Linked DNA regions of Arabidopsis thaliana. The protein of the gene in region 3 interacts with the protein of the main gene of each other region in a biochemical or structural test. Each region holds a gene or a part of one and is shown on either strand. Other genes may lie near its edges.

The links.
Region 1: the proteins of HSP90.1 (region 3) and TOC64-V form a complex in vitro, tested with the Arabidopsis thaliana proteins (one study listed by BioGRID).
Region 2: the proteins of HSP90.1 (region 3) and SQN form a complex in vitro, tested with the Arabidopsis thaliana proteins (one study listed by BioGRID).
Region 4: the proteins of HSP90.1 (region 3) and SGT1B are reported together in a solved structure, tested with the Arabidopsis thaliana proteins (one study listed by BioGRID).

What each region holds. Positions count from the first base shown.
Region 1 is NC_003076.8:2,925,874-2,934,178, reverse strand, and holds TOC64-V (translocon at the outer membrane of chloroplasts 64-V), read right to left. Parts: upstream 6,007-8,305; 5' UTR 5,864-6,006; coding exon 5,622-5,863; intron 5,418-5,621; coding exon 5,265-5,417; intron 5,176-5,264; coding exon 5,051-5,175; intron 4,961-5,050; coding exon 4,835-4,960; intron 4,727-4,834; coding exon 4,544-4,726; intron 4,461-4,543; coding exon 4,316-4,460; intron 4,133-4,315; coding exon 3,964-4,132; intron 3,793-3,963; coding exon 3,655-3,792; intron 3,547-3,654; coding exon 3,346-3,546; intron 3,236-3,345; coding exon 3,108-3,235; intron 3,029-3,107; coding exon 2,977-3,028; intron 2,723-2,976; coding exon 2,653-2,722; intron 2,509-2,652; coding exon 2,429-2,508; 3' UTR 2,158-2,428; downstream 1-2,157. Other genes in the region: AT5G09430 (alpha/beta-Hydrolases superfamily protein), read right to left, coding at 817-934, 1,017-1,084, 1,177-1,269, 1,361-2,017; EICBP.B (ethylene induced calmodulin binding protein), read right to left, coding at 6,888-7,010, 7,083-7,427, 7,527-8,109, 8,270-8,305. UniProt on the Arabidopsis thaliana protein: Chaperone receptor mediating Hsp90-dependent protein targeting to mitochondria.
Region 2 is NC_003071.7:6,876,566-6,884,482, forward strand, and holds SQN (peptidyl-prolyl cis-trans isomerase / cyclophilin-40 (CYP40) / rotamase), read right to left. Parts: upstream 4,334-7,917; 5' UTR 4,179-4,333; coding exon 4,008-4,178; intron 3,620-4,007; coding exon 3,119-3,619; intron 3,020-3,118; coding exon 2,932-3,019; intron 2,822-2,931; coding exon 2,769-2,821; intron 2,209-2,768; coding exon 2,104-2,208; intron 1,983-2,103; coding exon 1,907-1,982; intron 1,765-1,906; coding exon 1,727-1,764; intron 1,633-1,726; coding exon 1,579-1,632; 3' UTR 1,548-1,578; intron 1,450-1,547; 3' UTR 1,209-1,449; downstream 1-1,208. UniProt on the Arabidopsis thaliana protein: PPIases accelerate the folding of proteins. It catalyzes the cis-trans isomerization of proline imidic peptide bonds in oligopeptides.
Region 3 is NC_003076.8:21,349,698-21,356,743, reverse strand, and holds HSP90.1 (heat shock-like protein), read right to left. Parts: upstream 4,188-7,046; coding exon 4,065-4,187; intron 3,750-4,064; coding exon 3,608-3,749; intron 3,523-3,607; coding exon 3,242-3,522; intron 3,154-3,241; coding exon 1,597-3,153; downstream 1-1,596. Other genes in the region: AT5G52650 (RNA binding Plectin/S10 domain-containing protein), read left to right, coding at 105-384, 479-611, 889-963; MEF1 (mitochondrial RNAediting factor 1), read right to left, coding at 4,603-6,369. UniProt on the Arabidopsis thaliana protein: Functions as a holding molecular chaperone (holdase) which stabilizes unfolding protein intermediates and rapidly releases them in an active form once stress has abated.
Region 4 is NC_003075.7:6,849,381-6,856,786, forward strand, and holds SGT1B (phosphatase-like protein), read right to left. Parts: upstream 4,533-7,406; 5' UTR 4,340-4,532; coding exon 4,180-4,339; intron 3,853-4,179; coding exon 3,783-3,852; intron 3,678-3,782; coding exon 3,553-3,677; intron 3,445-3,552; coding exon 3,318-3,444; intron 3,240-3,317; coding exon 3,143-3,239; intron 3,025-3,142; coding exon 2,959-3,024; intron 2,880-2,958; coding exon 2,741-2,879; intron 2,616-2,740; coding exon 2,536-2,615; intron 2,450-2,535; coding exon 2,345-2,449; intron 2,243-2,344; coding exon 2,135-2,242; 3' UTR 1,804-2,134; downstream 1-1,803. Other genes in the region: AGL52 (AGAMOUS-like 52), read left to right, coding at 198-1,187; AT4G11270 (Transducin/WD40 repeat-like superfamily protein), read left to right, coding at 5,081-7,406.

The DNA.
Region 1 (8,305 bases), about 18 Mb from region 3:
CTAAACCCTATATATTTTCTTAGTTACATAATAATATCACCAACGGATGAGCCAAAAATTGATAAGAAAAGGCAATAATCCACAGCTCGTATAGAATAGAAGTGCCACTAAGTAGATTAGGTAAGTCACAACATTAATTAGTAAAATACATCTCTTCTTTTAACAAAATAAAATTCCTAACGATTCAATCATTATAAGTTAAGGATAAGTTTGGCTTAACTAATCAATAAAATATTGTGAGGTGTATATGTTAGCCTTGTATTGCCGCCGACCGACCGACCGACCGACCGACCAACTTCTCATGTTGACTAAACCAATCTCTCTTATATACACAGATTGGTCCCAGTTCTCTTGTCATGTATCGGAAGTCCATATTATTGGAATCTTCTCAATATATATAATTCGACCTTCACATTGTACAACAAATTTAGACGATAGTCGATAGGGGAGCCACATAAAATTGGACCATGCAAAGAACTGTATATAATTTTATTTAAACTCAATTTTTTTTTTTTGTTTTCAATATTCTAACTTCCTTTATCAAAGCCCACCAATCAAAACAAAGGCCAGCTAAAATAGGCCTTTTAATTGTTATTGCCTTATTGGATATTTTTGTTGTAGATTGTATAACTCAGGCTCTGCAGTTGTCAAGTTCTATCTGGCGTGGATAAAATAATCGTATTTGTGATCTAACAGCTAACATAATTTCCTAATAGACAGTTGATGTTTTAAGCTTTTAGACAAGAAAGAAAGATCACCTATATATTGAAGAATAGTGTAAAAATAAAAATGGTTGATATTATAGGAAAAAGTAATTCACAAAGAGTCAATGAGAAAAGATTTCAAATGCTTGACAAATTCCTTGGACTTCTCCAAATTCACAGCATGTCCTGCTTTCTTGATCACCACTATCTCTGCACTCTCTCCTATATGTCTGTTTCACCATACAATTATTATAAACACATAAAAAAATACAGAGGGTAATCTCTATAGTTAATATACATGTTGTTGTTTACCTTTTTAATCTGTAACCTAGTTCCAGTGGAAATATTTGATCTTCTTCTCCCCATATGATCAACGATTTCTAATTCAACCAATAAACACACACATACACACAATGTTATAGGAACTGCGAAATTTACATAAGCAAATTAAAATCCGAATAAAGGTTTGTACCTGTTTGATCCTAGGAAGATCAGAAAGTCTCCTATCTTTGAGTATTGATTTGATCAAATCTCTCTTCTCCTCTACAAACTCCGTACACATTACCTTTTCAACATTTTGAACAACATTTCTCAAAACTCCAACATTTATCAACAAACAAACAAACAAAGACATTATTATAAAGGAAAAAACTTACATCGATAAAATCCCAGAGAAAAAACGAAGGAACACCTTTGATTGGTTTAACGAAAGAGAATCTTATGAGTTCCTTAAGCTTTTCCGGCGTCTGAGGAATCAAAATTCCGGTAGCTTCTTCTAGATTCGGCACCTTAAACAATCCGTCCTCCATATCTTTCTCCTCCAAACAAACCCCTGCGCAGCACAGCACAAGCTTCTCAACGTTCTCCGGAAACTGCGCCGCTAAACTATACCCAACGAATCCACCGTAACTAATCCCGACGATGTTCATCCTCTGGACTCCGTGCGCTTCCATTAACCTCATCAGACACCGAGCCTGGAAAGATTCGGTTCGGTTTGGTTCCGATGTGGATGATAACCCGAAGAAGAGGAGATCGGGAACGTAGACGTTGAATCGGCCGGTGAAAGCTCGGAGATGTTCTCCGTATTGCCACATTGCGTTGGCGCCGAATCCGTGGAGGAGGAGGAGATTAGGTTTAGATCGATTCGGGGATTTAGGAATCCAACAATGCATAGCTGTTGATGCGATTGAATTGCCGTGGGAGAGATCTGTCGTTACGGAACGTAGACCGGCGTTTGCGAATGATTGCCGGAATAACCAATCTCGCGACGCCGTGAAGCTGAAGCATCGCAGCAGTTTCATATGATCAAACATTTTTGATTCGAATAATTCAAAAATGAAACAGAGGAGAAGATACGGAGGCGTGACGATGACGAAGAGGAAAAAAACAAACAACGAATTCAGTTATTTGTCGAGAAATTGATTGTAAACGTGTCATTTATGGGTCCCTCCGTGTAATTTAAGGAATTACAGTATTGGACTTGGGGGAAATTGTAATTTACGTAAAAGACCGTTAAGAAAACAAAGAAGCTAAAAGGACCCCATAAAACTTTTCAGATCAAGTAATTAGAGGTAGAAGTTTTCATCCCAATCTGTACACATGTCACAAAACCACTAAATTATTAGTCTGTTGAAACCGGAGCAAAACCTTTCCTTTTTAGGGTTTTAGATAAGTGAAAAGATAGATTGGTGAACAAGAGAAATCGAGTAATAATCCTTTTTAACTCATATGTGTTTTCGGAGTCTCTTCTCAGCAACCTTTGCCGTCTTGTTCTGTGGTTCAAGGACCAATGCGTGCCTGAAATCTGCAGAGATGATCAACCATAATGTTACGCTCCAATACCCTACTAGAGAGAGTAACTCATCTGGATAGCTAGATGAATTTTATCTTTTAACAAGTTTCTCCAATGTGATAAAATTACAATCTCAGAGTAGTTTAATCATCATACCTGCAGCAGCTTCCTTGTACCGTACAAGTGATTCTCTAGCAGTCCCTCGTCTCAAATATGCCTTCACATTCTGTAGAAACAAATAACTATTATAAGAATCAAAGCTTCCAAATAATGCGTCATTGTGTCTATAGTGAGTGATCTGAGTGATAATGAAACTAGATAGTCATAGTACAAAGGTATTACGCCGCAAATCAAATAAATAAAAAGTGAATAGTTTTGTTCCAGCTCAAGTGTACTTAAACACAAAACCATGTTAAAAACACAATGTAACAAAACAAACTACGAGGGATGGAGAAATAAGGCAGCTAATCAAGTTTTCACCTTCTTATCGATCAACATGGCCTTGGTACAATCTTGTTCGGCTTGTTGGAAGCTATAAACAAACTCTCAGATCAGAAAATCATAATAAATTATATTCAGATCAGAATGAAAGATATGAAGAGAACAATTACCAGCAAAGTTCCAAGAAAGCTGCAGCTCTATTGCAATAATAAGTAGCATTTGCTCCATTCAATTTTATAGCTTCTGTATAAAAGTTTACCGCCTTATTCCATTGTTTCCCCTTGTATGCAGCATTGCCCTGGAATTACATTTTATCCACTGTTAACTTTGAGAACATTCCAACTCCAGTAGCATATCATGGATCAGAACCAAATATACTATTTGTCAAACTCAAAGAGATAGTTTTACCTTTTCTTTCATAACTTCAGAAGCCTCCATGTTACCATTGGTGTCAGACACTGGAGCTAAGTTGGATGCAAGTTTGGCTTGGTCTTGAAGGGATGCATATACATCGAGAGTTGTATCGAGAAGGAACTTATCACCTCCATAGTAAGTAAGAAGCGACACGGATATTGGACGATCACCATGTTCCCCTAAAGGAATTGTAACCTGAAGAATATGTATATATTTGTGTCATGACTAAAGACTGAAGAGTAAGGAAAAGGCAACAAGAATGTTCCCCAACCATTGAATGAGAAAGAGGAGATGGAAATATACCTGACAACATCCAGACATGCTTGCAATGCAGGAGAGTGCATAAGTACGATCAAGAAACTCATTCAAAGATTTATTTCTCTTTGTGTTAAGCCTTGGAGGGGGATCAGCAACTGTGGGGATTACCAGAATTCCATCTTCCTAGTAATAAGATACCGATCTATGGTTAATCATAATACCATAGAACTAAAAAGAAGCCGCAAAAATGAAAGTTAATAATTCAATCTCTTCAGACTTCAGTGTTTTGGTGGCAAAATGTCCTCAAGACACTAATGGCTGTGAAAATTTTAAATTTCCAAAAATCGAGTTTACCTTTAAAAGGCTTTGAATGGTGGCCCGCATCTCATTTTTCACTCTGTAGAGGGATTTAATGCTCTCGTTTTTGCTCTTCAGAGCTGTAACAACATCATTGGAAAATCTTGGCCCTAGAAACGATTTGCATGTTTGCCACCATTCTTCATGATTTGTTTTGAACTCATGCCTGGTAAAAAGAAAATCCTTTCTTCTTCGATATTTGCATATAATACAACTTAAGAAGAAAATAGTAACCTCCAGCAAAGAGGGAATAACAACAATCTTTTATTGCACCCGTTTAAAAGGAACGAGAGAGAGAAAAAAGTATTGATGCAGTGAAAATTTCAAGAAGTGTGAGCTTCTTAAATACCTTTGTATAGCCAACATCACAGATGAAAGAGCCCTTAAAGTTGATGCTGAATTTTGGGATTTCCCAGATTGCTCACAGAATTCCGCAAGACTTGGTACATTTGAAGCGACATATTGGCCAACGTTAACATGTTTTGGAGTCTTGTCTGCATGAGCCAGTGGTCAAGAGACATAAGATATGAATCTGGAGAAGGGCAAAGAGAAGGAAACAATACAGCTGCAAACTTACAGCCAGATAGATTCTCGATTGCCTTTCTGACAACTTGCACCGACTTTTGCTTAGGAATGTCAGAGAGCTCGAATAAATCATCAGCAAAGATTAAAGATCTTTGCCTTCTATGTGTTACTGCACTCAGATTTAGTAAGGCATGTCCAACTTGACACAAAACGGATGGATCAGAGGCAAACCATCCTACAGAACGAATCAATGAGTTCAATAATCAGGAAGGCAAACACCTAGAGTAGCATGTACCATTGAAACTACACTAAAAACACTAAAAGGGAGGGGAATGTAACGTACCAACAGTCTCTAGGCTCTGAGAATTGGGCAAAACTCCAACTGAAGAAACAGTCCCCTGAGATGGTCGAAAACCAAGAATACCACAAAAGGCTGCTGGGACTCTAACACCACCAGTGGTATCAATCCCTGCAAATCAAGCATCTTTTGATTAGCATAAAGAACCAAACGTAATCCAAGAAACACATTACCAAGAGAAAACGAAGAGATTAACAATACCAAGTGAAAAGTCAACGAGTTCAGCCCCAACAGAAACTGCTGAGCCACTGGAACATCCTCCAGGAACATTATCTGGCATCAATGGATTAATAGGAGTTCCATAGTGCTTGTTTTCTCCAATAATCCTGTAAAATCACATTCAAAACACAAACTTTCTTCAAACCAACTACCGAAAGGTCATTTCATATGCAGAATGGTAGGAGTGGAGAGATACCCAAAACCCAGCTCATCCATTATAGTCTTGCCAACACAAGTAGCTCCATTTTTCAAGAGCGTCGTGACAACCACAGCAGTTTTCTCAGCAGCCTCATGAGTCTTCTTCCATTGTGGACAACCAAATCCTGTGATATAATCCTTAACATCGAACCTGTCAAACCATTAACCCCGATATAACTTTATTCATTTCATTGCAACATGACTTCGTCTAAGCAAGTCAAAATCTCAATTAAACCAAACAAAAGTTTTGAACTTTATAAGCGAGATCATTATATAAAGCAGGAAAAAACAAATTTGAAAATAGGTTATGATTTTTAAGAGAGAGAGAGAGAGAGAGAGAGAGAGAGATACATACGCGTCGGAGATGGAGAAGGTAAGACCAGAGAGAGATTGTTTAGCAGCAGGAGGAGGAGGCGGAGGGAAAGGAAGAAGCTCGAAACGATCTAAGAAAGCACCAAAGTCTTCTTCTCTAAGGGCTCTAATCCGCCGCTTCCGGGTCTCCGCCAGAATCACGATCCCGGCCACCGTCACGCCGATCACTACCCAAACTTTGGGATTCGAGGCATTGCTTTGAATCAAAGAAAGCGTATTCGACATAACGCGATCTCACGAGAAAGAGAGAGAGAGAGAGAGAGAGACAAGGGTTTTAGGAGGGTTTAAGAGAGAAAAGGGGAAAGAAAAATAGGAGAGAGATTTGGAAGAAGCAAACACAGATGCTATCGTGCGCACTGTGTCTAAACCCTTTTAATTACGAGTGATGACTTGGCCAGCCGTGAACTCAAGTCCGTCTGCCCAAGGCGAATCTTCTCTTTTTGATTGATTAATAATTGTCTTTACGAAATCGATAAAGAAATTAAAAAAAAAAATTAAATTAAGAAAAATGGAAATTTTAATTTTAATTCCTTTATTTATTAGAATTACTCGTTTCAATTTTTTTTAATAAGCTTGTACAAATTGATTTAGGTTTATAATTTCTTTTGTTGGCCATTTCTTCTCTTAATGAACTTTTCCACTCGTGGAAAAATAGATTTTAAGCTAGTCAAGCCACTAAAAACCTCAATATAATAATGAAAAAATTAAAATATATACTGCTATAATTTATTGTTAAGTTTCCATTTTCTGTAGCCTTGCCCGTCAATCCAATTTTATCTTCAGATTATAGGAAAATCCAAGTTAAGTTTTTTTTATAGCTTTAATGGTTTACCAATCCAAATTTGGTAGATAAAATGGCATGTCGACCCGGATTTATAACCTTTAAAAGTTAGCTCAATATCATACTACCATTCAAATTTAAACTATAACAATATGACTGATGTATGAGTTTGACCAAAACAAATATGATGTATAAATTGCAGAAAACAGCTAATAAAGAGAAGAATATTCAATACGGATACAAATATGAATCAGAGTAATCCAACACTTGGCTATATAATATTAGCAGAGAAAAGCCAAATGAACAAATAAAAAAGTTATATATTGTTAAGACGAAAGAAAATAGTGAATAATTCTATTTCAATCCAAGTAATAAATTAAGCGGTAAATATCAACTATGGTATTTACAGAGAAGAAATAAAGTTAGAAAGTAAAAGAAGGAAAAATGAATACGAGTCAGAAAGTAAAATCAAGGAGAAATAGACATCATCAATGTGTCATCGTTCAAAAGAGACTCAATGTCAATAAAATCGTCTTCTTCACAGTTGACTGCTTCTTCTTCTTTATTGTTTATAGATGCACTTGATGAAGCCTGCAACAACAATTTATCACAAGAATGCTCAACAAAATATGATTAACTGATTATGTTATGGGTCTTGGGTACCTCATTTTCACGGAAGCCCTCAACAACCGTTAGGAGTCTACGGTATTGATCCCGTGCTTCTGGGTATTGAACCATCGACTTAACACGAGTCAGAGCCTTCTGTAGCCTTTCCTCTGTTTGTTTTCTTCCCTCTTTAAGATAATCATACTCATCTTCCTGTGGGATCCTAGGACATATAGCTGATACAGGCGGTTCCGGTTCCACGGTTTTGGCGACTGCATTGCGTTTAAACCCTCTCAAACCATTACCTTTGCGTCTCCAACGCAAAATGATTTTCTCGAGTAATCCCACAGACCAGATGACTGTTCGGTATTGTTTCCGGACCTGATGTCCTCTCACATGAGCCTAAAGGTAAATGTAATATGATTCCAGCAATGAGAAACCAGACAAAAGACTTATGCAAAGAAATAAGGGGGAGAAAAAAAAACTCAATGAAAGGCAAACCTGAATTTTAACGATTCTTTGTCGGATTAAAAGAAACTCTTTTCTCTTCTTCCAACCACGATATTTCTTCTGGATATGGGTAGCAGCACAACTAAGAGAGACATCACCCTGTCCTGGATTCTTAGTTTTAGAAGCTGCAAAAGAAACAGCTAACTGGTCGGAGATATCAATCTTTTCATCATCGCCAATATCACACAGCTGTTTCCGTTGGAATGATTGCATCCTGAATACTTGATGGAGACGATCAGCCGCTTGCGTAGCATTACGGACAGCAGTAAGTGAATCCTTCAAGGAAAGTTTCTCTGGTACATCGCCATAGGTCATAGGAGCAGCGGTTCGCTCAGAGACTGTTTGAACAGCTTTTTCTCCACAAGAGTTGGCAGGGCTATTTTCCTTTGAGTCCACTGTTAGCTTTTCAAGATAACTAGTTAAGGAAGACTCTGCAAGAAATCCCGAAATTCCCCTGTGTCCATTTGCGTAAGCCAAATCAGCTGCTGTTTTACCCAATGGAAGCTCTGGAGATGGATCCGTTAATGCCCCAGCATCAGCACCTAGAGAGACAAGCACAGCGACAGTTTCCTCCCTATAGTTAACAGGAAAAGGAGTTAGTTTGATATGGCAATGTTGACCAAATAATAGAGTTAAAGCATCATCAATGTGAGCATCTTAAACGAAATGCAAAATCTCAAATAATAATATTATGATTAAAGGAAATTGAAGATATGTGAGATAGAGGTCCATACCTGCCACTAAACGCAGCCCAATGAAGGGCAGACCAG
Region 2 (7,917 bases), on a different chromosome or scaffold from region 3:
GTTAAATTCAGCGGTTTAGCAAACTAACAAAAGAGAGTAACAAAGATGGCAAAAAAGGGTCCTTCGAGTTTGGGGCTTGTCTTCTTGCTTTTACTGGCTTTATTGGCGGCCCCTTGGCGCATAAACTGTGTGTTTTCTTCTCGACAAGAGTTACACCCATGGCGTATCAACGGTCTCTCTATCAATACTTCTTTTTTCTTTTCTTTCTCGTTAGTGTATGTAAAACAATATATGAGTTAATCTGGTCCTAAAACACAAATAGATTTTCTTAGGAATTTTTAATCCAAAAGAGAAACTGATTTTCAATCGACTTCATTTGATATCGGCTTTTCGTTTGAATTATTATATATTAATTTTAAAAGTTTCAAGGAATTTAAAATTTCATTTTATTGATTTCCTTAACTATATTTTTTAGTTATTGTTTTGATATCAATCGGAAAAAAATGAAAGCAAATCAGTTCATTTGTTTGATACAATTTCGATTTTGGTTCAGTTTGGATCAACAATAAAAAGGACCCTACACTATTTAGAGTATTTTCATTAAATCAGTAGATTAATTTTAGTTAGCATTTAATAAATTGTGAGTTTTCTTTTTTATTATAAATAAAATAGCAGAGAGAAGGAAGCTAATACCAGTATCAGCATCATGTAGTCAACGCGGTAAAGGTGGTCGCGGCGGTGGTTGTCAGAATGGTGGAGGTCCTCCGAGACGGTCGCTGTAATTTGTGATTGTCGTTGGTCTACACTTATTAGTATAAAACTGTTTCAGTTCTACCTGCTCTATTAAGTTAAAGATTGATTTTTAGCAAAACACACATATTAAGAAAACAATATAAATATATTATTTTATTATTTTATAGTTTTCTATAACTCTAAACCAATGATAATTAACTATTTTTCTTGGAAATTACAGTTCACAATACTAACCAATTAATATCACATGAAAAACTTTAAAAATCAATCTTTTAGAAACAATTCTTTTTCTAGAAAATCAATCATTTAGAAACAGAAGAAAGTATTGTTTTCGCAAAAAAAAATAATCGTATTTGATTTTATTTCATAAGGAGGGAAATAGAAACAGTTCCCAATGGATTTTTTGTAAGCATATATGCATGCTGCGGAAACCAAAATTCCCTAGCATTGTAGTGCCCACTTGCTGATTCAAGCAAACGTGAAAAAAATCGTGGAAGAAAGCAAAGAACTCAGAGTGGCCAAGTAACTCAAAATTTCATTAACAGTCTCAAGCACTGAATCTATCCTTTGGGTAAAAACAATTTCCCAGTCGATATTACTATGCATCAGTCTTTGCCATGATGCAAAAGTAAAAACATGTTTACCAAAATGAGGGAAATAGAAACAATTCCCAAAGTCCTTTTTTGAATGTTTTTTCTTTCTTTATATGCTTCTTTTCACTTTTTGTTAGTCTTCTTCCTCACTATCCGACCAAACCTACATAGACAACATCAAAAACCCTGAGAGTTAAATTAGTTGACATAAAGCTTACACTAGGTCAGTTTTCTGAGATTAACAACAAATCTTAGGCTTACCCTAAATGAAGCAGAGCACCCCCCCCCCCCCCTATACGAACATTTTGCGGTACTGCTTTTTCTCTTCGTTGTCTCTAAAGGCAATCTGCAACACATGGTTATTAACGTCAGCTCTAAGATTTTATACTAGAAGTAAAGTAACTGCAAAAAGAACTTGTGTTCTTTATCCGCATACCGACCTTTTTCATAACAGCAGCATATTCTTTCTTGATACCAGCTGAAAAATCAACTCACAGAAATAAATGCTAGTTAGATTTCTCTCGTAATATATTTAAGTGTGTTGTACTATGTTCATACATTGATAATGATGAACCAAACTTGTCAAACCACAACTAATAGAAGCTTGATGAATCACTCACCGTCATTAGGTTCGAATTGAAGAGCTTTCTCAAGGCTTTCAGCAGCAGCATCGACGTTATTAAGAGCCATGTATGCCTAACATTATAAACAAACGCAGATAAGAAATAGACACCATCTTCCTCTCATGAGAAATCTAGAATTTTCGTTATTGTGGTCTAGGTTCTAGAAAACTGTCAAACAATAAGTTTTTAAGTACCTGGCCTTGTCGAAACAATGCTTTAACATTGTTATCTTCATCACGCATAGCAAATTCAGTGTCCAACAACGCTCCTTTTGCATCTCCGAATTTGAGTTTGCAGGCCTGCCACAACAGCCAGTTACAATACAATGAGATAACATAGTAAAAAAAAATCGGTTATACAGGCACAACAAAGCAATTAAGTTGGACAAGTGAAAACACTGGCAACGTAAACAGAGATGCAAACAATAATTCATATGAGCAATGTATGTCCCACAAGCATAATCTCAGAGAATATTATCCTGCTTATGTCAAGGTCAACCTACCCTACTTTTTCCCAAGAAATTAATCAAACAGCAGAAACCAACATAAATGACAGGTCTGCAGTGTAGAGCACTTCAAATTAATTTTTAGTTCACAATCAATTGCTTATCATTCTATCGACGGTACAGCTCATCCGTAAGAATTAAGCAGATTCAACAAAAAAAATTGTAATGTTAAAAACCCAACAGAGTAAGAAATTTAAGTTCTTTTGGAAAAATCAACGACTCCAAAGACAATCAATCTTCAGATGGTACGTAAAGCACACACACATATAAGGTAGATATGTTCAACTTACAAGAAAAGATATCAACAAGGATGTATGTAGCTTTAAAAAAGGTGTAAAAGCATGATGAACTTACAGCACTATTAGTGAAGATCTGCGACTTTGTCTTACGCAAGGCAGTACTCGTCTCTACAAGATCCCAAGTAGAGAGTGAGTGGGAACATTGGTATGGATAGTATAAATATTTTTTGAGATGAAGTAAGTGGAAACATATATAGAGAGAAAAACTGATAAACCACCTTCATCAATGCCCTCTTTCTCCCAGCAAATATCCAGATAGCGTAAAGCCTTACGGTACTTTCTAAGAGCCATCTTATAGTCTTGTTTCTGAGAGTAAATCAAGGTCAAAAACAGATCAGACTCACAGAAATGAAAATATGGAACAGACAAACGTATATATTCAATTTAAAACAATGGAAAAAGCACCTTAAAGTGCTCATTCCCATGAGCCTTGACAAAATCAACAGTCTCCATCCACCAAGATAACTCAGCTGGGCTTTCATTCAGATCAATAGGCCAGTCAGGGTACACATCACCATCCTTGAAAAAGTCACAAATCCCATCATCTGCACCCTCAGGGATTTCTCCACAGTCATGGATCACAACATCCTGAGAAGGACAAGACTGTTCCTCTATGCTAACATGCTCAATCGACCGAACAACACCCATTCCTTTCGTAACCCTTCCAAACACAACATGTTTCCCATCTAAATGAGAAGTGCGAGTTGTCGTAATGAAAAACTGAGAGCCATTAGTGTTGGGACCAGAGTTAGCCATAGAGAGCATCCCTTTCCTCTCATGTTTCAGCTCAAAATTCTCATCGTCAAACTTCAAGCCATAGATAGACTCACCACCAGTACCATCATTAGCTGATATATCCCCACCTTGTATCATAAACCCCTTGATAACACGATGAAATCGATTCCCCTGTAAACAAATACACCAAATACCATAAGTACATCATCCTATAGTACAATTTCAACCTAAAGTTTTGATCTTTACCTCACCACTACAAACTACAGTAACCTAATTGCAATACTGAAACAAAGTCAGAAGCTATTCAGCAATACGAGCAAAAACCCATTAAACCTCAAATCATAAGCATTCAGAACCATTCTATAGTACAATTGCATCCTAAAGTTTTGATCTTTCTTTCACAACTAATTGCAAATTTAACCAAGTTTTGATCTTTATAAACCCCAATGACGAATGACCCATTAAACCACAAACCCTAAATCACAGAAACAACAAATACCCATTTCTACATTTCATACATAAGAGAGTATAAACAAAGATATAGAGAGAAAGAGAGAACCTTGTAATGGAGAGGTACACCAGTATTTGGACCTAAACCCTTCTCACCGGTACAGAGTAATCGAAAATTCTCAGCGGTTTTGGGAACAACATCATCGTAAAGCTCAATAACAATCCTTCCTTCAAGCTCACCTCCAATGCTAATGTCCATGAAACACTTTGACCTACCCATCTTCTTCTTCTTCTTCTTCCTCTTGCTTTCTTGAAACCGAAACAAAGACGAGACAGAGAGAGAGAGAGAGAGAGAGAGAGAGAGAGAGAGAGAGAGAGAGAGAGAGAGAGAGAGAGAGAGAGAGAGAGAGAGAAAGAATCAGAGGAAGAGACAAAGAACAATGGTGTGAATCTCTGTCTCAGTAGCTTCCGTCTCTAAAAGACTGTAGACGGGGACTTGTCTCTTATTAAACGCAGAAATCAAAACGACAGATAGAAGAAAACCCTAGGACCCACTTTCTTCCTCCAACAAATTTTGTCTCTTTTTATTTATTTTTAACTTTTAATTAATTTATTTATTACTTGCTGCCAAAATTAAAAAATAAGAAATTTATTACTCGTCCCTTCGGGTACATTCCATAAGAGTGGATAGTAGGTGATTGCCCACTATGGCCACTACACAATAAATATTTGGTTTTATTATTTCTTTTTCTTAAAAATTATTTAATTTTTTTGCAAAATATTATTCTTTTTTTTTAGGGAAAAAATCTAAAAAAAACCCAACTATTTTTTATTTAAAACTTTAATACCCAATTGTTTTTGATTGGAACCTAAAGTTCCAAAATATTAAATTTTGTTCAAGAAAAACACTATTTAATTGTTCGTGGTTAAATCATTCATGCGCGTTAACAGACGTTAATTTGGCTGACGGAATCACTAAACCGGGGTTAATGGTTAACAATCCGCGGTTTAATTGACTAACTAAAAGACTACAGTACCCTCATTTGTTTTCCCCCAAATCGATTTGGGATTGAGAAACCCTAACTCCCCAAATTTCTAATTTCTCTCCAAAAAACTTAGAAATTGAAAGAGGCGATGATTCGAAGCGTTTGATCGGGTATATCTGCGTTCGATCCAGTTGGTAAACAGTCGAAAAGATGAGGTATGTCGATTTGTGTGTTGTGGGTCTGTCGATTTGAATTTTTAGGGTTCTTAAGTTTGAAATTTTCTGGGTTTGTTTGAAATTGGGTTAGGGGTTATGAATCAGTTAGGTTATAGTTTGTTTACCACTACTAATCGGTTAATTTCTATTTTCCAGTGATTTCGAGTGTTTGAAACTCAACATAAACTATAGAGGCGATGTATCCTTCACGGACCAAGGGTTCGATTACTCTGGAGGGGTCGAGGCGAAAGACATGGTGATGGATCCTGATCTGATGACATGGTCTATATTCGACGATTCTTGCAAAGAAAATGGAGTCAATGGTGAAGTCGAATCGATTTGGTACAAGCTTCCAGAAGAGGAAATCTATTCAGCAAGAGTTATCGGTGCCGACAAAGATGGTGGGATAAGGGAGTTATGTCGTGAGGCGATGATTGGTGGGGAAGTTGACATATACATCGTCAATGCCGTCTCTGTACCTGCAGCTTTTCCGCTTCCAAATGATGTTGTAGAAGACGAGGAACTTGGAGTTGAGGATGATGATGCCGAAGATATCATAGACGAGGAGCCTGCAGCAGAAACTAATGAGTGCCCTGAAAGAGTACAAGCTAATGGAGAAGATCCAGTAGAAGAAAGAAGGCACGATGATCCTCGGTTTGAGGCTTTCTTTGACGAAATTCACAATGGTACAGAAGCTGCAGATGATGTTGTTGATGATGCTGCAGCTGAAGACATTAACACAGTACCAGAAGAAACCGTTGCTGAAGAGGTTGAAGATGAAGATGAATTTGAGAGACAGTGTTATGATGTAGAGCGTCCGGATCATGCAATGGACACAGATGATGAATGGGATGCGTATGACCAAGCAGAAAGATCATCATCTCGACAGAAGTTTTCGAAGGATAAACCTCCATACATTTGGATGTTGCAGACTTTCAATAGTGGTTAAGAGGTTAAGGATCAACTCTTGCGGTATGTATTGAAGATGAATTATGATGTGAAGTTGTGTAGATGGGGTGCAAATAAGTTGGCAGCAATCTGCAGCCATGAAAATTGTGAGTGGAAGATATACTGCTCCACTCATAAGCGTTCAGGTATATGGAGAGTATAAACTTATGTTGATAAGCATCACCATGCTAAGAGTGGGAAAGCAAAAATGCTGAAACAGGGAGTCATCGCTAGGATGTTCAGAGATGAAGCAAGAAGGCGGCCTTTTTTGAGATGGACTGACATCAAAGATGAGATTATGATGAGGTACACACTCTCTGTGTCTAAGTGGATATGCCAAAAAGCAAGAAGAATGGCTTTAGACATGGTGGTAGAAACTCAGAAAGTTCAGTTTGGAAAGCTATGGGATTATGAGGCAGAACTTCAAAGGTCTAATAAGGATATCCACACTGATATTGTGACCATCCCAAGAGAGTGTGGTAAGCAACAGTTTGACAAGTTTTATGTATGTTTTAAAGCTCTTAGTAGAACTTGGAAAAATTGTTGTCGGCCTATCATTGGTCTAGATGGGTCATTTTTGAAATGAGAATTGAAGGGTGAGATTCTAACAGCTGTGGAGAGGGATGCATATAATAGAATCTACCCTATAGCTTGGGCTGTAGTTAGGGTGGAAGACAATGACTCGTGGGCTTGGTTTGTGGATCACCTAAAGAAGGATTTGGAGTTAGGTGTGGGTAATGGACTGACAGTTATTTCGGATAAGCAGAAGGGGTTGCTCAATGCAGTTGCTGACTTGCTTCCAGAGGCTGAACATAGGCATTGTGCTAGGCACATCTATTCCAATTGGAAGAAGGTTTACGGGGACTACTGTCATGAGAGTTACTTCTGGGCCATTGCCTACAGCTCAACAGATGGTACTTACACATACAACATGAGAGCTTTGAAAAGTTATGATCCGCTTGCTTATGAGGATTTGCTTAAAACAGAGCCAAAGACGTGGTGTAGAGCCTTTTTCAGTGGGCATTCTTGCTGTGAGGATGTTTGCAATAACTTATCAGAGAGTTTCAACAGGGCCATAACGGATTAAGGGATGCTAGGAAGAAGCCTGTGATTAGTATGCTTGAAGATGTAAGGCGACAAGCAATGAAGCGTATTTCTAAAAGACGTGACCAGACTGCTAAATGTAAGTCAAAGTTCCCACCTCACATAATGGGAGTACTTAAAGCAAATCGCAAATCAGCTAAGTTATGTACTGTTCTCAAAAATAGTGAGCATGTATATGAGGTGATGGAAGGTAATGGAGGCTTTACAGCCAATATTCTTCATAGGACTTGCGCTTGTAATCAATGGAACCTCACAGGAATTCCTTGTCCACATGCAATCTATGTCATCAATGAGCATAACCGTGATCCAGAAGAGTAAGTGATTCAAAATTTGAGTATGCTTTAACCGTTTTCTTTATACTTGATTGATTGATTTTCCTTTCATGTAAATGCAGCTATGTTTCTAGATACTTGTTGACAAGTGTTTAGCAAGCCAACTACAAGAAAAACATAAAACCAGTCAATGGAGAGATGCTATGGAAGAAAACAGGAAAAAGCACAATTGAAGTGCCTGATAGAAGGAAGAAGAGAGGACGTCCTAAGAAGTTTGCTAGGACAAAGGAACCAGGTGAATCCGCAAGTAATCCAACAAAGGCAACAAGAGAAGGAGGAACTGTGACTTGTACTAACTGTAAACAAGTAGGGCATAACAAAGGGACTTGTAAAAATGCCACAGTACTATCAGCTCCTCCACGCAAAAGAGGGAGACCAAGGAAGAATCTGGTAAGTAATGAGATCTGTTTTGATTAAACTGGTAAGTAATGAGA
Region 3 (7,046 bases):
GATTTTTGAACTAGTTTAGGTTAACTAGTTATGGTAGCAATTATGATGTTTGGCTTAGAAGGTGAACATTGTGTTGATTATCATATGTTCTATGATTTTTGCAGAAGGAGTTTGCTTTGCGAAGAAGGATTTCAATCTTGCTAAGCATCCGTTGATCGATGTCCCCAACCTACAAGTGATTAAGCTTATGCAGAGTTTCAAATCCAAGGAGTATGTTAGGGAGACATTTGCCTGGATGCATTACTATTGGTTTTTGACCAATGAAGGGATCGAGTTCTTGAGAACTTATCTTAATCTTCCATCTGATGTTGTTCCTGCTACTTTGAAGAAGTCAGCTAAGCCTGGTGGTCGTCCATTTGGTGGCCCACCTGGTGATCGCTCAAGGTGATTAACTCTTTGCTTAACCCATTTCATGTCTGGCAAAAACTTTTTTTTTTTTTAATTTGTTTGACATGGTTTGGGTTTCTTTGTATTTCAGAGGACCTCGCCATGAAGGAGGAGACCGTCCCAGGTTTGGTGACCGTGATGGGTACCGTGCAGGTCCTCGAGCTGGTGGTGAGTTTGGAGGTGAAAAGGGTGGAGCTCCCGCAGATTACCAGCCATCTTTCCAAGTAAATTCTCACTGACCATACCTTCTATTTACTTCTCTATCTCACCAACGTCATATAATGTGCTACTCTTGAAGTCTTTATCATAGAGCTCCTGAACCTGAGAAACCATGAACATATTTAGTCTCTCTTTATCACTTTAGTTACAAGGAACATAAATCTTTTACTTTAGCTGTGAAGTGTTTCAAAGTCTATAGTTATATAATTGCCTTGTGATTTGATTTACCCGCCTTCTCTTTGTTTGGTTGCCATTGTTCTAACATCCTTTCTTGTTTATCAGGGAAGTGGCCGTGGTTTTGGCCGTGGTGCTGGTGGCTACAGCGCAGCTGCACCATCTGGTTCAGGTTTGCCTTGAAAAAGAAATGTCTTTAGGTGACAGTAAGACCATGGAGGAGTTTTCAGCTTTAAATTTTGCTTTTGTAATTCAGATTCCGGAATCCTTCATAATCTCTATCTGAGTTTAGTTTTGTTGTTGAATCAAACATCCGATTTAAAGTTATGTTCATTCCATCTTCTCTCCCCTTTTCGAGCATGCGAGAATATGATTCCCCCTATTGAACAAATCAATCAACCTTTAAGCGATAACAAATTGGTGTTGTGAAAATTATTAACTTCTTGATCTCGTTTTGTCAGATCTAAAATTACTATAGCCAAGCTACCTTTCACGTCAAGTTGTCACTCCTATCTATTCCAGTGATCTTAGGAAGTCTATCTTTTGGAAGTCAAGTTTTACTCTAGGGAACCAAAAGATTTGTTCAGAAACAAGAAAAGTTCCTTAGCTGAATAACAAAAACTTGAATCAGTATTAGACAGACCCACCACACGATATAACAGACCTGACACAAACCCAACCCTAGAAGTAGTCACAATGTTCAAGTAACTCTAAAGATATAAAAAAAAAGACAAAGACATTTTGGAAAATCTTAAAACTCAGAACAACTCGACATATTAGAAGTTTTCAGAACCATAAGAGCAATTTCTTCATCTCTTAGTCGACTTCCTCCATCTTGCTCTCTTCAGCAGCGTCCTCCTCCAACTCAGGCATATCACCATCTTCCTCAACGTTCTCATCCTCATCAATACTCAGACCCAACTTCAACATCCTGTGAATCCTAGCAGCAAAAGTGTTCGGTTCATCAAGACTGAATCCAGACGTCAACAAAGCTGTCTCATACAGCAACATGACAAGATCTTTAACAGACTTGTCATTCTTGTCTGCTTCAGCTCTCTTCCTGAGCTCCTCCATTATACCGTTGTCGGGGTTGATCTCCATTGTTTTCTTGCTCGACATGTAACCACTCATGCTGCTATCTCTCAACGCCTGTGCCTTCATAATCCTCTCCATATTTGCAGTCCATCCATATTCACCAGTTACTAGACAGCAGGGAGAGTCCACAATCCTGTCTGAGACCACAACCTTCTCAACCTTGTCCCCGAGAATTTCCTTAATCGTCTTGCACAGATTCTCGAAGGACTTCTTCTTCTCTTCCCTCTTTTTCTTCTCTTCTTCGGTCTCATCTTCAAGTTTGAGGCCTTCTTTAGTCGCAGAAACAAGTTTCTTACCGTCATACTCCTTCAATTGTCCAACAGCGTATTCGTCAATCGCATCCACCATGTAAAGTACCTCGTATCCTCTCTTCTTCAGCCTCTCCAAGAAGGGAGAATTCTCCACCGCCTTTTTGCTTTCACCAGTGATGTAGAAAATGTCCTTTTGACCTTCCTTCATCCTTGTGACGTAATCTTTGAAGCTCGTCATTTCATCACCACTCTTTGTGGAGTGGTACCGTAGAAGATCAGCAATCTTTCCCCTGTTCTGACTGTCTTCATGGATACCCAATTTGAGATTCTTGGAGAAAGCCTCATAGAATTTGGTGTAGTCCTCTTTGTTCTCAGCAATCTCGTTGAACATCTCAATGCACTTCTTCACTAGATTCTTCCTGATCACCTTAAGGATCTTGTTCTGTTGAAGCGTCTCACGAGAGATGTTGAGTGGCAAGTCATCAGAGTCAACAACACCTTTCACAAAGCTGAGGTACTCTGGGATTAGCTCTTCACAGTTGTCCATAATGAACACCCTCCTGACATAAAGCTTGATGTTGTTCAACTTCTTCCTCGTGTCAAAGAGATCAAACGGAGCTCTCTTTGGTACAAAGAGAATGGCCTTGAATTCTAGCTGACCCTCCACTGAGAAGTGTTTCACGGCTAAGTGATCTTCCCAGTCATTGGTCAAGCTCTTGTAGAAAGCAGCATACTCTTCCTTAGTGATCTCTTCTGGCTTCCTCAACCAGATCGGTTTCTGCTTGTTGATGAGTTCCCACTCGTGAGAGACTTCCTTGATTTTCTTCTTCTTTTTACCATCTTTCTCCTTCTCCTCATCAACTTCTTCAACCTCACCTTCGTTTTCTTTCTTTGGTTCATCTTCATCCTCATCGTCACTGATCTCCTTCTCGGTGGTTTTCTCGGTCCAAAGGTAGATAGGGTAACTGATGAACTCAGAGTGCTTCTTCACCAAGTCTTTGAGTCTCCTCTCCTCCAAGTATTCAAGCTGCATGAATAAACACACTTGTAAGAACACAGAAAACACCAAAAGAAAAGAAACAATCCCCAAAACACTCAAAGCTACGATTCCTTACCTGATCGTCCTTAAGGAAGAGGGTGATCTTAGTTCCTCTACCAAGTGGTTCCCCATCCACATCCCTAGTGACAGTGAAGGAACCACCAGCTTGAGACTCCCAAACGTATTGTTCATCATCATTGTGCTTTGTAGTGACAACAACCTTCTCTGCAACAAGATAAGCAGAGTAGAAACCAACACCAAATTGTCCTATCATGCTTACATCAGCTCCAGCTTGAAGCGCCTCCATAAACTCTTTTGTTCCAGACCTCGCAATGGTTCCCAAGTTGTTCACCAAATCTGAAAAAATAATAGAGAGTCATAACCACAGCACATACACTAAAACATCTCACCAACGAGAGATTATTAGGCATTGATTCGTTACCTGCTTTGGTCATGCCAATACCACTGTCAATAATTGAGAGCGTCTTATTAGACTTGTCAGGAACCAATCTAATGAAGAGTTCAGGCTGTCCATCGAGCTTGCTCTTATCCGTTAAGCTCTCAAATCGGATCTTGTCAAGAGCCTACAAAACCATTCATATAAACAAAGATAATCAGAAGCTTTCCTCAATCCTCTAGGGTAAATCAAAGACTACATCGAAGCAAGAACCGTTCTATATATGTAACTACAACACATGAAGATCGAGCACAAGCTAAGAATTCTAAACTTAACGTGATGCACAAGCCAAATCACGATTTATTTGAATAAGCAATCACAACGCTAAACCTACGAATCCAACGCTATCAACGAATCCAGGAATTAAAGAACAAACAACATGCAAGAAAATAGGAAGCGGACGAGTCACACCGAGCAGAGAGAGATTTGAAGGGAAACTTACATCAGAAGAGTTACTGATGAGCTCACGGAGGAAGATTTCTTTGTTGCTGTAGAACGTGTTGATGATCAAGCTAAGAAGCTGGTTAATCTCAGCTTGGAAAGCAAAAGTCTCTGCATCAGCCATCTGAACATCCGCCATCGCAACGAACTTTGATTCAACGCAAACGAGAAACGAAAGAGAATGCTAAGAGAAAATTTGGAACTTCGAGAGCGTTTCGAGAGATTTGTGATTGTTTTGTTGATTTATGAAGAAGAGAGGAAAAAACAAAGTGATTTTATAGAGGAGAAATAAAGTTCTAGTCTCTTCTTTTGAAATAAAGGAAAACCAGTGATTTCTGGATTGTTCTTTGAAAACGACGCCGTATTTCGATGAAATCAACCGTTTTTAGCTTTGTGAGCAAACGAATTCCAGAAAGTTCTTTTCGTTTCGAGACTCCACTTGTTTCAATTCCGAATAGGTCTGGCAAAGAAATTTCGCCGGTTCAGTGTGAACTGAATGAAATTATGGTTAAATATAAACCAACTCTCATTTGTCTTCTTCACCAATAGTCATTACAAGAACACTTGCCATCTTCAAACCGATGAAACCGATTATTATCTCTCACAATGATCACTCGTCTCGTACATACGGACATGAACTTGATCGCGTTATGGCAATCACCGCAAACACGCAGATTCTTCATTACTCGGATCGGTCTATCAGCTGGAAACGTGATCAGTCCAAAAGCAATAGCTAATCTCTCACTATGATACCTTATGGTTTGATTCTTCTCGTCACCATCCACTTCTCTCAGAACATAGCTTGTGTCTGCAATGTAACCCGCTTTCTCCATCTCTTCCCCTAACTCAGCCAGCTTCTCATATATCTCCTTGCTTTTCTCATGACGTCTTTCTCCAGCTGCAAATGTATGAACCTTGTTCCTTTCTTCAACCCAACTTAGCCCTGTTTCCTTCTTTTCCCCTCGGTCTCGAAGCAATTTTCTAGCTTTAGCTGCGTCTTCGAATCTACCATCGGCTGCATAAGCATTGGATAACGAAATGTGCATACCGGAACTCACTGGTCCTAATTCGAAGACCTTGTCTGCTGCAAATGCTGCAAGCTCTGTGTTCTTGTGGACTGTACAACTCGTTAATAAAGCTCCCCATACAGATTCCGTGGGATCAATCGGCATATTAGTGATAACTTCAAGTGCTTCTTGTAATCTACCAGCTCGTCCTAACATATCCACCAAGGAAGCGTAATGCTTATCCGTCGGCTCAATCCTCGATTCTTTCATCTGATCAAAGTAGTATCTCCCTTCATCAACTAGACCCGCGTGACTACAAGCATTGAGCACATTCAAAAAAGTTATGAAATTTGGTTTCATTCCAGAAAGCTTCATCCTTTTGAACAATTCAATAACCTTTTGAGTATGTGAATGTTGCGCATACGCCTTGAGCATAGCGTTCCAAATCCCGAGATTCTTCACAGGCACCTCGTTAAAAACTTGATAAGCTCCTTCAGGAACACCACACTTTGAATACAACGAGACTAAAGAACTTCCCACAAAGCTAGAAGAATCAAAGCTAGACTTAATACTCAATCCATGAATCTGTCTACCTAACTCAAGTAGAGTCGAATTTGCACAAACACTAATAACACTCGAAAACGAGTAATCATTAACAGCGAGATTCTCAAACAAAGCTTCTTTAAACAACCACAAAGCTTCCTCATTTTCACCCATTTGTGCATACCCATACATCATCCCACTCCAAGTAACAACATTTCTCTGAGGCATTTCGTCGAACATCTTCCTCGCATAAACAATTTCTCCACATTTCGCATACATATCAACCAAAGAACTCCCCACAAACACATCAGCATCATACCCAGTCTTCATCGATAGACAATGAACTGATCTACCAATATCACAACGACTCAAAATCGCACACGACTTTGTAGCTGATGGAAGAACATGATCATCAGGTCTAAGGTTTCCCGCCATCATTTTTTTAAGAAACTCGAGTGACATCCATGGAAGCTCGTTCTGGGCAAAACAAGAGATGATTGAACTCCAAGTCGTCGAACTTTTTTGTGGGCTATCTTCAAAAGCTCGACGAGAATCAAACGGAAGCTGTGATTTGGAGTAGAAATTAATGAGGTTGTTAGCGACGAGAGGGATAAGAGAAAGGCCTGATTTAACGACATAGCCATGAAGCTGAAGTCCTTTAATAGTTGATCTGGTTCGAGCTGAAGAAAGAAGAAGATCACAGATTTGATTGTAATTGTGACATGGAACGAAGAAAGCTGAAGAATTCAGAGCCATGGGGAAGAAGATGGTTGAACTCAGTGAGAAACCAGGTCTCTTATTGGGTAACGTTTCACAAGGCCCATTAAGTCGTTAGGCCCATTAGTGACTTTTAGTGCCATTGCCTTTGAAACCCTGAAGTGTCGCCTACGTAGTCTGGAACTGGAAACCAAAAGACACGATCTTTAAAAAACTCGATGGAAAGGGAAGACAACTCAGACACCAAGAATTATGACTTTGAAACTAGTTGTCTAAGCCTGATTAAATTAGAAAAACATAGAGAGCTTCTTCGTATGGGATTAGAAGAAAGCTCTTCGAAGCATAGACTGGAGAGCATATACGTGACTGAGTTTAATACTAGTTTCAAGATTCTTTGCATTGGTATGGCTAAGTTATATTGTGTCCACTGCGTTATAATTTTACCATCATTGCCCATTGTTAGTAACACCTTTAATGTTAGTTAAAACCAACTATGCATCCTATAAAAGATAGTTGGGGACATTAATACGTTACCTCCCCTAAAAGGCTAAAATAGATAGTTTCGTCCAGCCTTTTAGTTGCCTCTAACATGGCCCATGAATTCATTCGGCCCATTAGGTATGAATGAATTGCCTTTGAACCCTAGGTTGTCGTCTACGTTAAGTCTGGAACTGGAACTGGAACTGGAACTGGAACCAAAATCCAAAATACACGAT
Region 4 (7,406 bases), on a different chromosome or scaffold from region 3:
TTTTATCTTCTTCACGCGTCGCCGACGCGTATGCTTGTTCCCGTAGGCACCAAGGCAATCTATATAAACATATTGAGTGAAGTTTCACAATCTTTCACCATCAATTCCACAATTCTGCTTCTTCTTTGTGTGTTATCTCTCTGTCGGAGAAAAAAAAAACCCTAGTTTCTTGCTTGGCGAATCAAGGCAAAATCACGATGAAGCAAGCTTCTTCTTCTTCGTCATGTAATCCAACAAGTTTAACAAACAGACTTAAAACAATCTTTAAGAAAGCAGAAGAGCTTTCGATTCTCTGTGCTATTGACGTTTGCGTCATCTATTACGGACCAGACGGTGATCTGAGAACATGGCCTAAGGATAGAGAGACAGTGAAAAATATGGCTTTGAGGTATAAAGAGGACAGAAAACGCAAGAAGTGCCTCAATCTTCATGAGTTCCTCGAGAAAGAGAAGGTGAAGGACAAAGACAAGTATAAGGGGAAGACGAATTATGTGAAGAACCCTAATTGGTATCCAAACTTTGATCATTACTCTCCTCAACAACTCTCTCAATTGATTCAGTCCTTAGAACGAACACTTTCTACTCTCCAAAAAAGGCTTCGTATTGTTGAGTCGCAGAAAAAACAGAACACAAACTTGGTGCATCAGAGTTTAACACCATCGTATCTGAACCAGACACAACACTTGGATCCTAGCAAGTTCTCGCTGTATATGTACAACCATGGAGATGCTACTCTCTCACAACTCCCACTGTCTGCTTCACAATCCAATCAACTCATCAATTACCAGATGCAGCATGGTTTTGGTCAGAACATGTGTTTGGACAACATCACCAACAACAACAACTTTCAACATCCTGGCGTGTCAAACACACAAGACTACTCACCGTTACTTTCGGCGAATAACTACGGGTTGAATAATCACTTGATGCAGCAACAGGATCAGCTTCATGGTTTTGATCAGAACTTGTGTATGATGAGTGAAATCATCAATAACAACAACGGTTTACAACATCCTAATCTCTCAAACACTGTTCCACATGAATTCCCTTATGGTAACACTAGCTTCTCTCAAGATATGTTTTCGAGCTATGATGGGAGCAGTTTGCTACAGACATCTTCTCTGCCACCTCTCCACAACATTCCTAACAGCTATTGTTTTTCTGACAACTCAAGACTTCTCTGCTAACAAATCTGTCCAAAAGGATTTGTTTTTTGAAGCTTCATTAAGAGTCAGTCAATACTTATAAGTAGGAAGCTGATCAGAGAGAGATTGAAGCTGTTTTTGCTTCTGAATTCTTCCTGCTACTGTCTTTTTTTATTTTACAGTGTTGTTATAACTGTAAAACAGATCCATTTGTGGAGATTTTGTTTTTACTTTTAAGTTGGTATTTCAGTTAGTATTATATATATATATATATATATATATATGAACTTCCATAAAAGTCTTTCACAAAAACTTGCATGAAACAAATTATAATCTAAAATCACTTATGGTGACAAGACTGTTTCAATTGGTTGATACAACCTGCAAAGTGAAATCCTTTACTCTTGCATCTTATAACAAACTTGTAACTTAGTATCCTTCTTGTCTGAATCAGCTAATATATACATGAAGATGGAAAGTAGCTCTGATTTCGTGAAGACAAATTCTCTGCACCCAATTACTGTGGCGAGTTTGACAATGCTGGTGCATTGATGAGTGTTGATGATAGCTTAACATGTTCATTTCAAATCCTTAAGGCATTTGAGAAGAAAGAAAGATTTGGATTCAACAACAGTGTTCCTAGACCAGGAACCCCAAAGGTGAAAATACTGTCTCACTATATAGATGCACATCGGTTTTAACTAAAGAAAGTTGGGCTTATACAACTAACCTTTTAGACCACAATGCAATTATGTCAAGAAATATTTAGATAAGCCTCTCGATAAAAGAACAAAGTTCCAAAACAACAGACTTGCGAGTTTTAGTTTTCTAATACAAAATCAAAGTATCAGAACGTTCTTTGAGACCACAACGCAAGAATGGAGAGAGACAAATTCGAGCAGAAACCAAAAAAGAAAAACACCTTAAAAGTTCAAAAGATTTGTCAGACTTTTTTTTAACAAAAACCAGAAAAGGGGATTTTAAGAAGATCAATACTCCCACTTCTTGAGCTCCATGCCATCTGGTGGAGTGCTCTCCACTTTCTTAGTCCCAACTTCTTTCCAGTTTGTCGACAGTACCGTCCCATTCGACTCTGCCTGTCAAACCCAAAAACCACCCGAGAGGAAAATCTCATTAGTCGAAGAACAAAGCAGAGTTATTAAACCAAAATTTTAAAGACCAAAGATAGATTTGCTCACAAATGATTTGTTCATTGCCCGCCTCATGTCTTCATCTGCACTCGAGTATATGTCGCTGAAAAATTTGTTCATAGCTGCATCTCCATCAAGCTTCTCATCCTTCTCCTGCGAAATTCAAAAGTGATAAGCAGAAAGAACAAAGTACAGCAAAGCCTCTAGTGTTAAGGATGAGAAGTTAGCGTTTGTGGAACCTGTTTCTTCACTTCAGCTTCCAACTTGTCCCAGTCTTTTGCTGGCTTAGAAGATGGGTACACTGGTCTCTGCGACAGCGCTGCATATGCACATAAAATCAAATGAGAAGAGAGAGAGACCACTTTGGGTTCAGTTTGTTTAAGGTTTTACGATTGTGGTTCAGAATAAAATAGTAAACGTAAGCTGGTATCTTCTGAGACAAACCTGATGAGACATTGGGTTTGGGCAAAACACTTTGCCCTTTACCATATTCAAGGGAGGCCCAGGTGATTATCTCTGCTTTCGCAAGACGGATCTCAACTTTGGTCGACAATACTTCAAATCTGCACTTCTCTGGTATTATCTGAAAAACACCCATGAAGAAGGATTTAGTAAAAGTGTGTGTGAAAACACCGTAATTACATATGTCAAATAAAATATACCTTCCCGAACAATCTCGGCTGGAGATGATAAGCTTCCTCTCCAGCAACATCAATGACAACACTCAGCTGCACCAAAATAAAGCCAAGATAGACATCTCAAATCAATACAGTGTTAAATTACAAAGAGAGATAGTTTCTGAAGTTCAGATAAAAGTCATGAATTCTCTGATTGAAGGATACTCACAATCTGCTCACCAAACTCGACAGTTACGTTCTCCTTAGGTACTTTTTTGGCGAAAATTGTCACCACCGCTTCTTCTGGTTTCTGGTAGAACTCGTGCCTGTTGAGCAATAAAGTTATGAGTATAAAATGATTCTGGAAATTAAAGAAGAATTTACATGTTAGATAACCAGACTACCTGAACATCGGTTTGGCAGGTGCTGCAGGAATTGGAACAGGAGGAGCATCAGCTTCCGTTGCTAGTGGTGTTGTAGAGCTTGAAGGCAAACTCGGTGGCATCGGCTGAACCAAATCTTTCTCTTCTTCTGAACAGAGATACAAAGACTATATCAAAATTATAGCCCTAGGCGCAGACAAATACCCAAAATCGTTTAGTAACTAATTTCTTAAGCTATGGAGTTGATGTAACATACCTGCAATACGAAGATCGCATTCATCTATCATCTTCTTAAACTTTGGTTCATTCGGTGCAACAGAAGCTCCCTTTTCCAGGGCTGCTTTAGCAGTACTATATTCTTCTAGCTTCATACAAGCAGTGCTGCGAACACAGTAGCAAAGAATCAGAAGATAGAATTATAATTCCAATCAAATTTGAACATAACATCAAATCATTCACTACAGAGAGATGGTGAAAATATCATACCCCTTTCTGAGATAGGCTTTTGCCAACGTTGGCTCCAACTCAATGGCTTTGTTCGCATCTACAACAGCTTCTGCTCATAGAAACCACAAAAAGATAAAATATCAAATCAAATCATCAAACAACAACAATTCAATCAAAGTACAGTAACTACAATTACAATTACTCAAATAAGTTTTCTTATCCGAATCAACAACCTCACAAAAGAAACCCTAAAACTAAAACTAAACCAAACCAATAACAAAAATCAAAACTTTGTTCCACTATCAACAGATCGAATTAAAGTAACGACAAAAGAACAAGACCCAGAACCCCAAAAGCGTCAACGAAGCAATACATCTAATAAAGTTTCAATCTTTAACGATGATATTAACGGTAAGGAAGAGAGTTATATTTATACCAGTGAAGTTATCGATTTTGATGTTGGCCTGAGCACGATCGGCGAAGAAGGCGGCGCAATTGGGATCCAAGTCAATGGCTTTGGAGTATAAGTCAACAGCAACATCGAAGTCATCATCTAGAAAAGCTTCTTTAGCTTTCTCTGCTAATTCCTTGGCCATTGATTCTTATCAGAGGATTTGAGAGAACACAAACAAGTCAGAGAGAGAGAGAGATTATAGAGAAAGAGACCGATTCTATTCCTCTAGGCTTTTTTTTTTTTTGCTGTGTTTGGGATTTTTTTTTTCTTTTAAGAACGTTTTAATACCTCTACTAGGTCATATAACCAAAAACAAAAAGGTAATTAGATTTTATTTTATTTTCTAATTTCCTTTTGATTTTATTTTTTAACATAAGATTGATTCTTGATAAGTCCAGATTTTTTAACAAATAAATTAGTTGACAAAAGAATAATACTGAAAAAAGGAAAGAAAACTAATGGTAAAGATATTTATAGAGAACTACAATAATTTAAAATAATCATTTTCTACTCATTTTGTTTATATCGTAATCGTTTACTCATAGTTTAGCAAATACAATGTGATTTGTGAATTTAGACTATGATATATTTTAACAAGTTATAATTTATATATTGACTAGATTAGGACCCGTCGTCCAATACACAGATTTAAGTATTTTAAGTTGATAATAATCTAGTAAAGTTAAAATATCAATTATCAAACTTTTGCCAAATATTTACCTTAAAAAATTTATTTGCAACCTCGAAAAATCCATCTAAATATGTACAGATATATTTGTCGTGATTACTGTTACGACGTCGTTTACCAGTTCGTTCTTCCTTCTTCTCTCACCCCGACTCGTTCACTGACTCGGTCGATGCTTGTACCGCTTGATTCAAGCCGATGAAGTGCCGATCTGTGGCCTGCCTATGGTCTCGTGCTCCTCCGTCTCATCGGGTCACCGCCACAGCCTCTCTAACCAATCCACCGACTCTCTATACCGGTGGATCCGATGGGTCAATCATCTGGTGGAGCATCTCTTCTTCTTCCGAATCCAATTCTGTAACTCGTCTCCCTCATCATGAGATTAAACCGATTGCTATGTTGTGTGGCCATACTTCACCAATAGTGGATCTTGCTATTTGTGATCCTACAATACTTTCAAGTAATGGAGTTGTTGCATCAGATAATGGTAATGCGGATCCATTTGTTAACTGTTGTGCATTGATCAGTGCTTGTACTGATGGTGTCTTGTGTGTATGGAGTAGAAGTAGTGGTCAGTGTAGGAAACGAAGAAAATTACCTCCTTGGGTTGGAAGTCCATCGATTTTGTCTACTTTGCCATCAGAGCCTAGATATGTATGTGTTGGTTGTTCTTATATCGATGTTGATGGGGCTGAGACTTTAGCAGATACTGATTTTCAGAAGTCGAGATGCACGGTGGTTGTTGTTGATACTTACACTCTTACTATTGTTCATACAGTTTTCCATGGGAATTTATCTATTGGTTGTTTGAATTTTATGGGCGTGGTTCAGTTAGATGAGCAGGAATCATTGCTTATGGCTGATTCGTTTGGTAGGTTGCAGTTGGTCTCAGTGTCAGAGAAATCTGAACCGAGCAAAGGCTCTCTAGTGTCTAGAAACTGGTTGAGTGAAGGGGAAATTGCTGTATCAGTAATAACTCGAGGGGATCTTGTTGCGTTTTTCTCGAAGAGTAGGTGTGTCTTTTGGTTGTTGAATCGCGAGGAGGCAATAGGAGAGATATCTTTTGTTGATGATTCGCATTCTTCAAATTTTCTGTTCAAAGAAGCAATGATACTTTACTCTAGTACATCAACTATTGAAGGTGATAAAGATGATAGTATTTCTGAAACTTTTGTGCTGTGGGATGGTAGTGGTTCTGCTGTGCTGTTTACTATGTCATATATAGATGGTGAATTTACATATAAAAACTTCGGTGAGATTGTTACTGCCCCTGATGATAAGCGTTCCGTGAAATCAACGTTTTGTTTTGTTCAGTTGAGGCAGAATCTTCTTCGCGTTGAGTCTAGTTGTTGTGATGTTGAACAACCTTCTCAGTGGAGGCCCCATATAACGATCTGGTCATTGTGCCTAGGAAATGGTAAAGAAAAAGAACTTCAGCGCAAAGTGCTTGGAGAAAGCTCCTATTTTGCTGATTGGATTTCAAGCTCCTGTTTAGATCCCAAGGGCTCGGTTAGTGCAGAAACTGGTACTTCGCAGTCAGGAAGTCAGTGCAGTGCCAAAAATGATCTACAAAGCTTTGTTAGTGACAATGGACAGTGTGTGTCATCGTCCATGGTTATTTCTGAGAATATGTATGTCCCATATGCTGTTGTCTATGGTTTCTTTAGTGGTGAGATAGAGATTGCAAAGTTTGATTTTCTTCATGGAATTGATTCTCCTGCTTCAAGCCCGAGATCAGATACTGATCCACTCGTCTATAAACAGCGTCTATTGGGACATACAGGATCTGTTCTATGCTTAGCAGCGCATCGAATGTTTGGGGATGCAAATGGATGTAATTCTTCTCATGTTTTGATCTCCGGAAGTATGGACTGTACCATCCGCATTTGGGATCTCGAAAGCGGAAATGTTATCATGATCATGCATCATCATGTTGCTCCAGTGCGCCAGATCATTCTATCCCCAGCTCCAACAAAACGCCCATGGAGCAAGTGCTTTCTATCTGTTGGGGATGATTCATGTGTTGCTCTTTCTTCTCTTGAGACTTTGCGGGTCGAAAGGATGTTTCCTGGGCACCCAAACTATCCTACAAAAGTTGTATGGGATGGTACAAGAGGCTACATTGCATGTCTTTTTCGCTCCCTTTCGAGAAAATCAGATCCAATTGATGTCTTATACATTTGGGATGTGAAAACAGGTGCTCGAGAACGTGTACTCCATGGGGCAGCTTCACATTCAATGTTTGATCATTTCTGTGCAGGCATTAGTGAGAAATCTCATTCTGGTACTGTCTTAAATGGAAATACATCAGTTTCCTCTTTGCTTTTCCCAGTAGACGAAGAGAGGAAACCATTTTATTTGAAGAACTACGAGCGAGCAGCCTCTTTGTCAACATCTAAGCCAAGTTCTTCGCAGGAAAAGACTAGAGAAGAGAGTTCTACTGCTTCGTCTTTTCTCCAAAGCATCAGATACCCTTCCATCAAATGCACTTGCCCATTCCCTGGAATATCTACTCTGATTTTCG